Saccharomyces cerevisiae S288C: one gene and its partners. The gene in region 1 interacts genetically with each later gene. Each region holds a gene or a part of one and is shown on either strand. Other genes may lie near its edges. The genes, in order: THP2, SIF2 and RPA34.

The links.
Region 2: mutations in THP2 (region 1) and SIF2 together harm fitness more than expected from each alone (negative genetic interaction), as found in Saccharomyces cerevisiae (6 studies listed by BioGRID).
Region 3: mutations in THP2 (region 1) and RPA34 together harm fitness more than expected from each alone (negative genetic interaction), as found in Saccharomyces cerevisiae (6 studies listed by BioGRID).

The regions. Positions count from the first base shown.
Region 1 is NC_001140.6:437,586-440,627, forward strand, and holds THP2 (Thp2p), read left to right. Parts: upstream 1-1,756; coding exon 1,757-2,542; downstream 2,543-3,042. Other genes in the region: anaphase promoting complex subunit CDC23, read right to left, coding at 1-1,465; putative GTPase MTG2, read left to right, coding at 2,792-3,042. UniProt on the Saccharomyces cerevisiae protein: Component the THO subcomplex of the TREX complex, which operates in coupling transcription elongation to mRNA export. The THO complex is recruited to transcribed genes and moves along the gene with the elongating polymerase during transcription.
Region 2 is NC_001134.8:445,750-450,427, forward strand, and holds SIF2 (Sif2p), read left to right. Parts: upstream 1-1,959; coding exon 1,960-3,567; downstream 3,568-4,678. Other genes in the region: exocyst subunit EXO84, read right to left, coding at 1-1,574; YMC2 (organic acid transporter), read left to right, coding at 3,918-4,678. UniProt on the Saccharomyces cerevisiae protein: Antagonizes telomeric silencing in yeast. May recruit SIR4 to non-telomeric sites or repression.
Region 3 is NC_001142.9:137,500-143,897, reverse strand, and holds RPA34 (DNA-directed RNA polymerase I subunit RPA34), read right to left. Parts: upstream 3,462-6,398; coding exon 2,760-3,461; downstream 1-2,759. Other genes in the region: IDS2 (Ids2p), read right to left, coding at 1-606; SMT1 (Smt1p), read left to right, coding at 1,331-2,479; SCF ubiquitin ligase complex subunit DAS1, read right to left, coding at 4,528-6,398. UniProt on the Saccharomyces cerevisiae protein: DNA-dependent RNA polymerases catalyze the transcription of DNA into RNA using the four ribonucleoside triphosphates as substrates. Component of RNA polymerase I (Pol I) which synthesizes ribosomal RNA precursors.

The DNA of each region.
Region 1 (3,042 bases):
GGAAGTAGTAAAGAGAATATAAATGCATGTCCAGGAGAGCATAAGCCTGGCCCAAACCAAACCATGCTTTGAAGTCTCGAGGGCATATATCTACGGCCCGACGATAGCATTCTATTGCGGCATGTGAATTGCTTAGTTCAACAAATTCGTGACCCATCAAAGTCCATGCGTTTGTTGTTTTTTTATCCAAAGTTAGTGCTCGACGGAAATACATGATAGATTTTTCATGTTCCTGTCGGGCACTGTAATAGTTCGCTATGATACAACATGTTTCCGGTCTAAATCTATCTATTTGGGAGACGAATTGCGCCAAATAGGCTAATTTTGAATTCTTCTGCATGACGTATAGAATATTGGAGTAGGTTTCCAAATCGTTGAGACGGTACGGATCTTGTTTAACGATGTCATCAAATCGGCTTTCTGCGGTAACATAATCCAAATTGTTGTAACTAATAGTAGCATTGTAAGCCTTTAAAAAAGTGAAATTGGGGAAAACTTGTAACAAAAACTCTAAATCTTCAAAGTAGTCCTCTAACTGGCCATTAAGCTCCTCAAACACTTTTAGCTTGAAAAATTTGATCATTATATTAAATTCTATCGTTCGTTGACTACCAAGATTTTCAGAAAATTTGAATTGGAAATTTTGATATAGATAATTATTTAAAAGCAATGCATCGTCAACCTTTTGTAAACAGTCCATTAACTCCAGCCAGCAGGACCAGTTAAAGGAGTAGCAACTCAGAGATTTCAAGAATGACGACATTGCCTTAGAAATATTCTTCTCTTGCTTTAAGATGACCCCTCGTAAATAATACAACAGTGCTAACCCTAAATCGGCCTCATCATCGTCTATCTTTATTTCATAAGACTCCAGAAATGTGTTAATTTCCTTCAAAATAGATGATATGTTCGATTGTGACTCATGCTCATTGCTGACCATTTTTAAATTGGCGCGTTGGTGCCCACTTTGATTTATATCCTCATTCCCACTACCATCCCCATCTTTGTTAGCTCTGTACATTTCGTCCGTAAACTTCCCTGTAGTTAAGATATTTTCCATACTTTCCTGGCTTTTCTTATCCCACGATAGAAATTTACTGTATAATTTTAAGAACTTAAGGTATGGATTAGTGACATCTTTTAGAAAAAAAACGCATCGATCAAACTCTTTAGCATCAAACAACGTAGAACCAAGGAGGTACAGGTCATACTCAGTCTCTGATAGGCCAAACCCGTTTTGTGGTATTTCAAACATCTGTTTCGGTACACCTTGTTTATTTCTTAGTGGCGATTCATCGGCTAAAGAGTGTGTTTGATCAACATCAATAGCTTCTGCAAGACCTGCTAGCGCCTCTGCTGCCCACTTTGAGGAGCCGTATAGCTTCCATCGTGATAATTCTGTGGCAGCCTTTCGTAGCTGAATACGTATATCATGTATTATTTTATCCTGGCTGTCGTCATTCATGGTTCTAAATGCTTCACAATCTGATTCTGATCAGTATATATCCAGATTTCAGTTTTCCGCTCGCTAATACTCCCTTCTTCCTCTTAATTTGATGTGAGTACCGCAGTACTTGGTCTGCTATTATGAAGTGTTTGTTTTACCCGAAGTGCTTTTTATGTACGCGCATTGAAAAATAATAGAAACTTGGTAAGTAGAATACTTAAGAAGCTGCAGAAGTGCAGTATCTTACAGTAAGAAACAACAGCGACTAGTTTATCAGGTTTACACTGCTCAAGTTATCAAGTTCATAGCATGACAAAGGAAGAAGGTCGTACGTATTTTGAATCTCTCTGCGAGGAGGAACAAAGTTTGCAGGAAAGCCAAACCCACTTATTAAATATTTTAGATATATTATCAGTATTGGCAGACCCTAGATCATCTGATGATCTGCTTACTGAATCCCTCAAGAAGTTGCCTGATTTACACAGGGAGCTGATAAATAGTTCCATCCGCCTGCGATACGATAAATATCAAACAAGAGAAGCACAGCTTTTGGAGGATACAAAAACTGGAAGGGACGTTGCAGCGGGAGTACAGAATCCTAAGAGTATTAGCGAGTACTATTCTACTTTCGAACATTTGAATAGGGATACTTTAAGGTACATAAATTTACTGAAGCGACTTTCTGTTGATTTAGCAAAGCAGGTGGAAGTGTCTGATCCATCAGTGACAGTGTATGAAATGGATAAATGGGTTCCATCTGAGAAACTTCAGGGTATTCTCGAGCAGTACTGTGCGCCTGATACTGATATACGTGGTGTAGACGCTCAAATCAAGAACTATCTAGATCAGATCAAAATGGCACGTGCCAAATTTGGTTTAGAGAATAAGTATTCCTTAAAGGAAAGACTCTCTACTTTGACAAAGGAACTAAACCATTGGCGAAAAGAATGGGACGATATAGAAATGCTTATGTTCGGTGATGATGCACATTCTATGAAAAAAATGATCCAGAAGATAGATTCATTAAAGTCTGAAATAAATGCTCCATCGGAAAGCTATCCTGTAGATAAAGAAGGTGACATAGTTTTAGAATAAGCACATTTTATTTAACCAGCCTGCACAAGTTAGATAGAGTTATACATACTTGTTGAGTGGGAGGGAAGAAAGAGAAAAATTGTATTATTTTTTAAAGAGCTTTTTAATATTTTATTTGTTCTATCTATTATTTTCACTTCCCCGAAATAGTACTGAAGGAAAAAACATGCTGGTTTATTTAGCGTTTAATAGGATGTGTACGTACTGAGAATATCATCAAGAATCAGTCCTCGGCCAGAGCATCTAGATATGTCGATAGCTTGGTCTAGCGTTTTCAAAAGAGAATTACGGCTTGAAAGATTTTTACCAAGAGTATATTCGACGAAAGTTCCTGATAATGCACCAAGAGCGGCTGACAATGAACAATGGCTAGAAACCCTAAGACCTATAACTCACCCAGAACAGAAAAAGTCCGACCATGATGTCAGTTACACAAGACACATTAATGTTCCTCTGGGCGAAGTCACTTCTGTCAACTATCTACAACGGTATAATAAGCA
Region 2 (4,678 bases), on another chromosome or scaffold:
TCTCTGGACCTTGGCCTCGAATGCATTGATAGAGTTAGGTTCTGCAAAAGATATTGATCCATTGCGCCTGTTACATTTCGGCCAGGAGTGATTGAACCCCCCATACTACGTCTTTTGTTTTTGTTAGGGCTTCTGTTGTTTTCTCTACCTGGGGTTTGTTGCGTAGATTGCAAATATCTAAAGGACTCTCTAATACGTTTAGAGTTCTCCTCTTCTACATGGAATATGTCGCACAAATCATCCTTAGCCTTTCTTATAACGTCCAACAACCTAGAGCATTCGTCTGCGTCTCTACATTCATACAAACTTGAATTCGAATTGCTAAACTTGAAAAGTAGCCTCTTAGTGGAAAATTCCTCTTGCGTGACAGTGACATCCTTTAAAGGATAGCACTGGCTTACTATAAAGTCATTTTGCTTATCTCTTGATTTATCGGCGATAAGTACCAAATCATTCAAAATGAAAATCTGTACCATCTGCAAGGGTTTACCAGTGGTAGTATTTAATTCCATCCAATTGGCACTATTCATTAAAATATGTCTTCCTTTCGTAGAATTGATAAACTTCTGAGCACCTTCAACGTTCTTAAACAGCTGATCCAGTTCCGTATCCCAAAATTTCTCTAATATCAAGACGCTCGATCTGTCCCTCCTCATGAGATTCCCATTTTGTCCTGCTTTCAAAGGCGGAAGTAACGCTGGACTATTAGAATGACTTTCAACATTGTTAAAATTGCCTTGTCTCTCTTGATCTATTTGATCCTGCAATTGTAACCTTTTTTCAGCTATTTTGGTGCACTGATCCAAAACCTCGTTTAAATCATTTATATTTGCTCTAACCCTTTTAAGCTCCAACATAGCAACATTTAGGTCGTTGTTTACCGTCATGATTTCGTTATATGATTTATTGATATTTAACTTTACTTCTTCTTGGACCTGTATCGATAAATCTGTTAAATTTGAGGTAAATTTATCAATAGTAATGGCACTCGCATTGCCTAGTTTATCATGAACAAAATCTTTAGCATTAAAATGCGGGTTTGCCAACATCTTTCTTAGCGACGTGCTATTATTGAAAGGATCATTACTGCCGGAAGGATTGACAGTATTTCGCATTGCTGATCTAGCAGGCACCTTATTATAGGAGCTGTCGTTCAGGGAGAGATCGGCAGTTGAAAGATTTAAACTGTTGGAAGGGCCTTTAGAGCTTACCGATTCGTTCTCAGTGGTGAAACTACTATTATTATGACTACTATCCACATTATCATTGGGAACTATCATGTTTGGCATATCAGGTAGGGGCATTGAGTAATCTAGTGTAGGTGGAGCATAATTTGTATTATGAATTGATAGTCTTCTCTGCATTGAAGTTGCTACCCTACTTCTCTCCCTTGCATTGATTGTTGGTAGCGTATAACTGGTAGCCGGATCCTTGAGATCACTATAAGGGTTCTTTTTTGTTTTTTGTTTAGGCTTAGCAGGCGATGGAGGTGTCTTTTGCTTAGCAGGAGAGCTTGCAGACTTCTTTACATGCTTCCAATTGTTTCTGGCCTTCTTCAAAGAAAACTCAACCATTTTCACAGTACAAATATTTCAACTTTCAGTCTCTTACCTGGTCTAATATGAAGGCTTTTTGTTCATTCGGCTTTGCTCAAGGTCTTACAAATATACTATTAACTGCAGTCTCTAGTCTCTTTTTCCAGTCATCTATTTTCATGGAGCGGAACTTAGCAAACGAGAAATAAACAAAAATGATTAGGAATGTATTCATGTTGAAAAGGTTATGAGATATGCAAGACCATTCGTTTTGATTTGCAATTAGTGAGAACAATTTAAACACCTTGGTGCGAAATTGAAGGTTTTTTTTTCCAAAGAAGTGTACAGCCCACACTAACAACTGCTAACTCAGATAAAAATAACAGAAACAAAAAAAAGGTAGGGAAGGCCCATCACACGGAAAATGAGTATAACAAGTGAAGAACTAAACTACTTGATATGGAGGTATTGTCAAGAGATGGGACACGAGGTGAGTGCATTAGCATTGCAGGATGAAACAAGAGTATTGGAATTTGATGAGAAGTATAAAGAACACATTCCTTTGGGTACACTGGTGAATCTAGTACAAAGGGGAATCTTGTATACAGAAAGTGAGTTAATGGTTGATAGTAAAGGTGATATCAGCGCTTTAAATGAACATCATCTTTCTGAAGATTTCAATTTGGTTCAGGCGCTGCAAATAGATAAAGAAAAATTTCCTGAGATCTCTTCTGAAGGAAGGTTCACTTTGGAAACCAATTCCGAGAGTAATAAAGCAGGTGAAGATGGCGCTAGTACTGTTGAAAGAGAAACCCAAGAGGACGATACTAATTCTATTGACAGTAGTGATGACCTAGACGGATTTGTCAAAATACTGAAGGAGATAGTAAAATTAGATAATATTGTTTCCTCCACTTGGAATCCATTGGATGAATCTATACTCGCATACGGTGAAAAAAATTCTGTTGCAAGACTAGCGAGGATAGTAGAAACCGATCAAGAAGGGAAAAAATACTGGAAACTCACGATAATAGCGGAGTTGAGACATCCTTTTGCTCTGAGTGCAAGTAGTGGTAAAACGACGAATCAAGTCACATGTCTTGCTTGGTCACACGATGGTAATTCAATTGTCACGGGTGTAGAAAATGGTGAGCTAAGACTATGGAATAAGACGGGGGCACTTCTGAATGTTTTAAATTTTCATAGAGCACCTATAGTATCCGTTAAATGGAACAAAGATGGAACACATATCATATCCATGGACGTGGAAAATGTCACTATACTCTGGAATGTTATAAGCGGGACCGTCATGCAGCACTTTGAATTAAAAGAAACCGGTGGCTCATCCATCAACGCAGAGAACCATAGTGGCGATGGTTCACTTGGGGTTGACGTTGAATGGGTAGACGATGACAAATTTGTCATTCCTGGCCCTAAAGGTGCTATATTTGTATACCAAATTACAGAAAAAACGCCCACTGGTAAACTTATTGGACACCATGGACCTATCAGCGTTTTGGAGTTCAATGACACCAATAAACTTCTACTTAGTGCCTCAGACGATGGTACTCTAAGAATATGGCATGGCGGTAACGGCAATTCTCAGAATTGCTTCTACGGACACTCACAAAGCATAGTATCGGCATCATGGGTCGGTGATGATAAGGTAATATCCTGCTCGATGGATGGCTCCGTTCGCCTATGGTCGCTGAAGCAGAATACGCTATTGGCTCTATCAATCGTGGATGGTGTCCCAATTTTTGCTGGAAGAATATCACAAGATGGACAGAAGTACGCAGTTGCTTTCATGGATGGGCAGGTAAACGTCTACGATTTAAAAAAACTGAACAGCAAGTCACGAAGTCTTTATGGTAACCGTGATGGGATTTTGAATCCATTACCAATTCCCCTCTACGCTAGCTACCAAAGCAGCCAAGACAATGATTATATATTTGATCTGTCATGGAACTGTGCGGGAAACAAGATTTCTGTAGCATACTCGCTTCAAGAAGGTTCAGTTGTAGCCATATAATAACTAGGTACAGTACATAAACAGATGAATTTTATCATTCTTATTGTTATTTCTTTGTTTACAAAAGGTGAAAAGTGAAAAATTTCGCAATGGAAAACGTCGCGGGCCGCCTTTGAGTGACGTTGTGCAGGAATCTCGAAGAGTCATCACTTTGAAGATAACGGCCGCTCGCGATGAGAGAAGACAATGAGCATTGCTTTTTTATAATTTTTTATACCTTGTGTTAAAATAAGTTTCTTTAATTAGTTTTCACCTCTTGGATGATACAACTGTAATTGATAAATAGGGGTAGCCATAAAGAACAGAAAAAAGCGGCGCAATAATTTCGTGTATTACAATTACAGTTAGTCATGAGTGAAGAATTTCCTACGCCGCAGCTTTTGGATGAATTGGAAGATCAACAGAAAGTTACCACGCCGAATGAGAAGAGAGAGTTAAGTTCTAATCGTGTGTTGAAGGATATTTTTGCGGGTACCATCGGTGGTATTGCACAAGTTCTTGTAGGGCAACCGTTTGATACAACAAAAGTTAGGCTTCAAACAGCCACCACAAGAACAACAACGTTGGAGGTATTGCGTAACTTGGTAAAGAATGAGGGTGTGTTTGCATTCTACAAAGGTGCGTTAACACCGTTATTGGGTGTTGGTATATGTGTCTCAGTACAATTTGGTGTGAATGAGGCGATGAAAAGATTTTTCCAAAATTACAACGCTTCTAAGAACCCGAATATGAGCTCACAGGACGTAGATCTTTCACGTTCAAATACTCTGCCACTATCCCAGTACTACGTTTGTGGGTTGACAGGTGGTGTAGTCAATTCATTCTTGGCATCGCCCATTGAACAAATAAGAATTCGTTTGCAGACGCAAACATCTAATGGTGGAGACAGAGAATTCAAAGGTCCTTGGGACTGTATTAAAAAATTGAAAGCTCAAGGTGGATTGATGAGGGGTTTATTTCCCACAATGATAAGAGCCGGACATGGGCTTGGTACATATTTTCTTGTCTACGAAGCATTGGTTGCCAGAGAAATTGGTACGGGACTAACAAGAAACGAAATTCCTCCTTGGAAATTATGCTTATTTGGTGCATTTTCCGGGACAATGTTGTG
Region 3 (6,398 bases), on another chromosome or scaffold:
GACAGCCTGTAAAGATTCTGCCGATGAATCGTGCAGTATTGTTATCCAAGCCCTGCTCTGATTAAGAAAATCCCCAGGAGAGTTGGTTGGTTCATTGGAAGATGCGCCGGAAAACGAACTTCTTGGGTTCAGTAAATGTCTTATCCACTGAACGTCCTGTATAGAACTACGCCTTGTAGTTAAAGGTGGAACATCCACCGATGGTTGCCTTATTGGTGATGCCCTTTCGCTTGGTTCCGGAGATCCTAGAGTCAAATCGTTAAGGATATCTGAAACAGACTCTCTCGTCTCCTGTCCCAAAGAATAATGATGTTTGAACAGCTGATAATCCTGCTGCTGTTGATCAGATTTTTCGCGTGTTTGAGAAGATCCATAAAGCCTTTGCTGCTGCTGTGTCGACCCTCTCGCAAGTGATGAAAGATTCATTGCATTTCCTTCCATCATCGTTGCTGGTTCAGGGGAGTACCTATCAGTGGGAGTACCTATGGGAGAATTATTAAAATTTAACAGTAATGGATTATCTTGTGACTCGGACCATGACTTTCTCACAGCAGCGGCCAGATCACCGGTGATATCTTCAGATATACTTTCCTGCTGATTATCCATTTTTATTATCAATCGTTTTTTCTTTCTTGCCCTTTTGATAAATAAATAAAATATATTTGAAAAAGATTGATATCAAGAATCCAGATATCTTTGCGTGGTAAAGCGGTGATTCGTGTTGCAATTTCCACCTCTTTTCTTCTCTGCCAATTTTGAACTCGACTGCACAATTCGATTGCTTCAATCATGCTTGTGTTTCTGTCCTGCAGCGCATGGGGAAATTTCCGAAGCAAAGATGGGAACAGTCAAGAGCAAGAGCAACAGCAAAAGTAATAAAAGACAGTAAAAAGCACAATATACTGCTATCGGCCGTACATAGTAAGTTAGATTAGTGAAAGAGAGGCAGCAAAAACTGCTGATAAGTTTTTGCACCGAAATGTGCCGCTAACTGCTTCTTGTTTTGCTGCAAGTTGAGAACCCGTAGTGTCATAGCATATAAATAATCTTGTAAACGTATACTTACATAAAGACATGAGTAGAGAGCGTAATGACACCAACATTTTTCCCCTCAATGAAAGTGTCGAAAATGATGGTCCGATATCAACAGTCATACAATAATGTGACAGCGGTTTTCTGTTTGTGCGAAAAGAAAACAGTAGAATATAAATTGCGTTTCAATATAGATTTACGAACCCTAAACAACAACACGCATAAGTAATTGTGCTGGCTAAAGGGAAATAGTGCGTGCGCTGCCTTTTGTCAATTTTATCTACAGGAATCATTGATTATGAGGAGGACTTTTTCTCAGTTAGCAACCCGACTATTGAAGTCGAAAGATGATGAGCTGAAATCAACTCTAAAATACTTGACCAAAGGTCCAGTGAAGTTGTTGGGGCCTTTGTTTGAATCTTCTGAAGTTAATGAACAAGGTTCCTTATTGAATCGTTCACGCACTAAAGAAAATAATCTTCAAAATCACCATATAGAGAACATCCTGAGAATACTGAATTCAAATCTACCGGAAGTAGAGTCCAAGAAACAAAAAGTAGCTGTTCATTACGATGTGCTTTTCTCACATTTGAACTCAATAGTTACCCAGGCAACGGATAACAAAAGTTCTTCTTCGAAGGAACTACAAGGTTCATCGTCCGAGGATCTATATGATAGGCTGCTGCTTTTGCAGTATGTGGGCAAGTTAACTAATGTGCGTCAAATAACAGAAATTTTGCTCTCAAAAAAGTTCAACAAATTCGATAAAGTATGGGAGCACAGAGCCTTGTTTGACGAATACCAAAGAGTAGTGATATCCATCCTGTTGTATTATAGAACGCACGATGTGCAAATAAGAAAAGACTACGAGCCTCGTTGGTTGTCCGATTACAGTGATCTACCGTTTCCTCTGCGACGTCTTTTGTGGAGATGTCTAACTTCTAACGTATCTGAAGATAATATTCGTCAAAATATAATTCATTACATTAAGCTTTTAGGCGCAAATTGGAGGAATAACGATTTGATTTTAATTTATCAATCTTTGTATGAAAAGTCACATATATTGCCTGATTTAACGGTCCTGAACCACAATAAAGATGATGGTTTCTCTTTCACCCAAAATCAAATCCTGCTTGTTCGTATTTTAAGGGCTATTTCGAAATGCGTTGAAGAGGAACCAAAATTGGTCAAAAAATGGTTAATTGATATCGTAAAATTGAGTATACAAAGCAAAATAATGCTGGAGTCACCGAAGAAACCGTCCACACCAATAATGGACCAATACAAATTTATTAGATCCTTAGATATTTCTATACGGAGTATCCATCGGACGTGCCAGGATAAACTAATCTTTGAAGATTTACAGGTCAACCTTGGAAGTGTATTAAAGATGATTAATGAAGAAGAACACGAGTTAAAAACACACTTACCATTGAACCTCATATAAGAGAGAACACAGAAAAAGCAGGTTAATAATATTCATATGGCGACTCTAAATCAAGAAAAAAATAATCGTTTGTGTTACACCCGAAATATTGAAATTTCTAATCGTATACACAAATTTAAGTATGCAAAACTAAATAGTAATATTGCCCACACAAAACATTCATCAGTTTCCACCAGCAGAAATGCCTTTTTATATATGTAAATGCGAAAAAAAATCACTGACACACACACAAATGCACATTTTTATCTTATGTTACACACAGTTATACGCACATACGCATTCAATCTCTATGTTTCTTTTTCTTATCCTTTTTATCCTTCTTCTCCCTCTTCTCCCTCTTCTCCTTCTTCTTTTTCTTCTTTTCACTAGACTCCTCTTCATCGTCGTGATGTGAACGCTTCTTTGGTTCTTTCTTATTTTCTTTAACTTCCTCAGCCACATGGAAATCTTCGGCATCATAACCAGTAGCAAAATGCTCCAACTTCAAGCCTTCTACTTTTGGAACATCTTTACGTGGAACTCTTACCTTACTGTAATCAATAGCTGGGATTTTAGCGGTTTCGCTGACAGAAAATACCTTGTCAAACTGTAATGGTGCATTATCCTTGGCAGTGCTAGCAATTTTAAGACTTTCCTTACTTTCCGAAGGAACCAATAAAGTCATATTACTGAGGTTATCCTGTGTTAACGAGGACTCAATATCTGTATCGTCCATGATTTTATAATCGTGTTTATCAATTGTCATGGTTGTAGAGGATTCAAAATCTACAGGCAGAGATTTTAACTTGGAGATGTCCACATTTGATGGGAATTTGATCAGCCAAACCTGTTGCTGTTTCGCTTTTTTTTTGTTATCACCGTTGAGAGGGAAATTCTTTAAATGTTTACATTTCTTGAAACCATCTGGTATGCTGAACTCGTTTGATATCACTTCATCATCAGAGTCTGAATCTGATACGTAATCTTTCGAAAGCTTGGACATATCAATTTTTTGTTAATCCCGTTTATTGAATCCTAGCTGCTCACTGCTCACTCGATCACAGACCTATATGATACCGAATACCCTATAACTTGAGCTATTCAATGCTCATCGATAAAATTTTTCATTTCTTTAATTTCATGTTTGAGAAAAAAAGTTTCGCAACACCCAATAACCACACGCTGCCCTAAGAAAAAACTTTCTCAGGCTGAAAAGAAAATTTTTTTTCATTTTCTAGAGCTTTATGGGCAGAAACAAAATGTATAAATACTGGACAACCTTCTGTAAGGTTATAATAATCTCGACATTCGGTTAATAAGAATTCCCCTACATAAGAACAAACAGCAGTGACTGTAATGTAGTAAGAATGAGAGTAATCCTCCTCTTTCGACTTCAGCATTGCACTCCTTCCCATTTGATACATTCAAGTTTGAATAATCTCAAGAGAAATTTCATGACACTTTTTTAAACAGAAAAGAAGAATTGATTGGCCCTGATGATAATGGTGTCTCTTCTTTCCTCGTCCGATTCGACCATGACGACAAGGGATTTTATCTCGTTCTCTTAATGCGAATGATTTTGAAAAGATGTTGCTTCTGTGACATTTTTTTTTAATCATTTGTGTTTGCAAACGGGAACTTTTCTTGCCAGTGTTATACAACACATGCAGATCTGAGCCTTTATTTTTTCTCATGAGATTATCAAATGTGGGTAATTTGAGGAGACAGATAATATATATAATTTATGATCACGGTGATGAAAGACTGGTTCCTTAACATTCGCAGTTTCCACGGTAGGAGTACGCTTACGAACCCATCGTTAGTACTCTCGGTGACCGCTCTTCTTTAGAGACCTTCCTAGGATGTCTGAGTGATCGTATACTGTAGTATCTTGTGTTTACTTTATCAAACCAGCTTACCAACATTGGAATAGTTGGTTGATTTTTTTCTAGCATCCGAATGGATCTTGTATTTCCTTAATATGAAGTAGACCAGTAATCTGAATCCTGCTAGCTTAAAAAATGCGTTGAATATATATTATTAAATATATATATTTGAAGGGGAGTTGATTACATAACAGTGGCTATTCTTGCAATGGTATCAGAATTATTATTGTTGTTGTTGCTGTCGTTCTCCAGATTCTTGTTCGATTCCTTTGACCATCCATACAGATTACTCTTATAATCATAATGATAAAAGACGGGTTCAAAAATACGTTCATTATTCTCCTCCATAACTATTGTGGGAATGTCATTCAACATCAAGAATCTCAAATGAGGAAAACTTTTCAAAAAAGTAACGTAAATCGACTTGAAGTGATGGATAAGAGCGTGATAACACATAATAATATCTCTTTTGGTCAATGATTCATGAGGAAGTTCCAGGTCAGTGGAAATTGTAGCTGCTGTGTCATCACTACTTGGAGGAATGGCCGCATTAATTTCATCATCATCATCATCGTCATCGATTATTATCATTTCGGGCTCGCTCATATGAGCGGTTGATGTGGAAGTCACGGTGGAGTGTTGATGTGGGTTATTAACGATTTTGGGCACCAACTGGGATTTAGAATTTCTATATTCCAAAAGGTTGCGGTTCATCTTGGTCACAAAATTAGTCAAATTCATTGGTTGTGTTCTAACGCTCGGATAAGCATCACAAGCTTTAGAGTATGGTAACAAAGATAGGTATTTCATCATTTTAAAAATATCCTTTGCAGCAATGTCTTGAAGATCGTGAATATAGTAGTCTTCAGGGAACATGAATATTTTGCCCTTCAGAATGTCACTGAATACTATTTGACAGTTTGTGCAGTTGCATTGCTGATTTAGTTGGAACTTATTTTCTTGAATATTGATGATTTGTGGGATAAGACCGTCGTATCTCAGATCTATGAATTGCAATTTGGAGCAAGCTAAAAGAATGGAGAGAAATATGTGAGGATTTGTGGGTTCAGGTACATACTCCTCTAAGAAATCCATTTTTAGTCTTTTCAAATTGGTTAACGAACTAAAAAGATCTACGAGGATATGAACATCCTGCTTAATAGAAATCAAAGACAAATCTTCCAGGTTCTCAAATTCTTTAAAATCTTTCAGCATTTCTGTCTCGCGTTTTAACAAAGTGTCATTCCAAGAAATGATGGTAAGAATTTTCAATGTCCTCTTGTCAAAAACCTCCGATAGTTTAGTCAGAGGATTGCCGGGTCGTATCTTTTTAACAAAATAATCATTATTGTAAAACTCCCTCCTCCAATGCAATTTTAAATCGATGATTTGTAACTTGATATCTAAAGGGTAAAGATAATTGAACAGTTTTAAAGGGTCGATGAATAAAGTCATATGAGAAAGCCGAGAAGAGATACGCTGTGAAAGATATTTGGTGAGATTCGGAATGTAATTTTCGGGAACAACCATCTCAGGCAATGAATTTGGAGGAGCCATGTCGAAACTTGAGACGTTGCTCCTGGAAAAGTGACCATTGGAGATGATATCGTTACAAGCCGGGTCAGTGACGTTTTCTAGTCTTTGCAAGGACTTGCCCTGATTGCAAAGGATGCTGAGAATGGACCTTTGCAAGGTAGAGTCCAAATCCCAGTTGATCCTTATCCACTGGATGACTTCAGTAATGTGAATATTATTTTGCAGTGTTTCTATAAGTTTTTTCAATTTGCAGTTGGCGATATCGCGGGACTCCTCTTCTTTCAACGAAGACGGCAAGTTCAGTAGGGTCCAATTAATTGCGAGATGCATGAAGTCACTCTTCACTACATTTGAGTCGTTCAAATATATTCTTCTATAAAGCAGTTTGGTAGCGATCTTATTCAACCTTTTGTTCACAAGGCAAAGCTGCAAGCGGTCTGGTTGCGGCAAATGAGAGAATACTTCTTGCATGAGCTCATCGGGGAGCTTTGTTAGCGGGAACACGTAGTTTTTGCTCT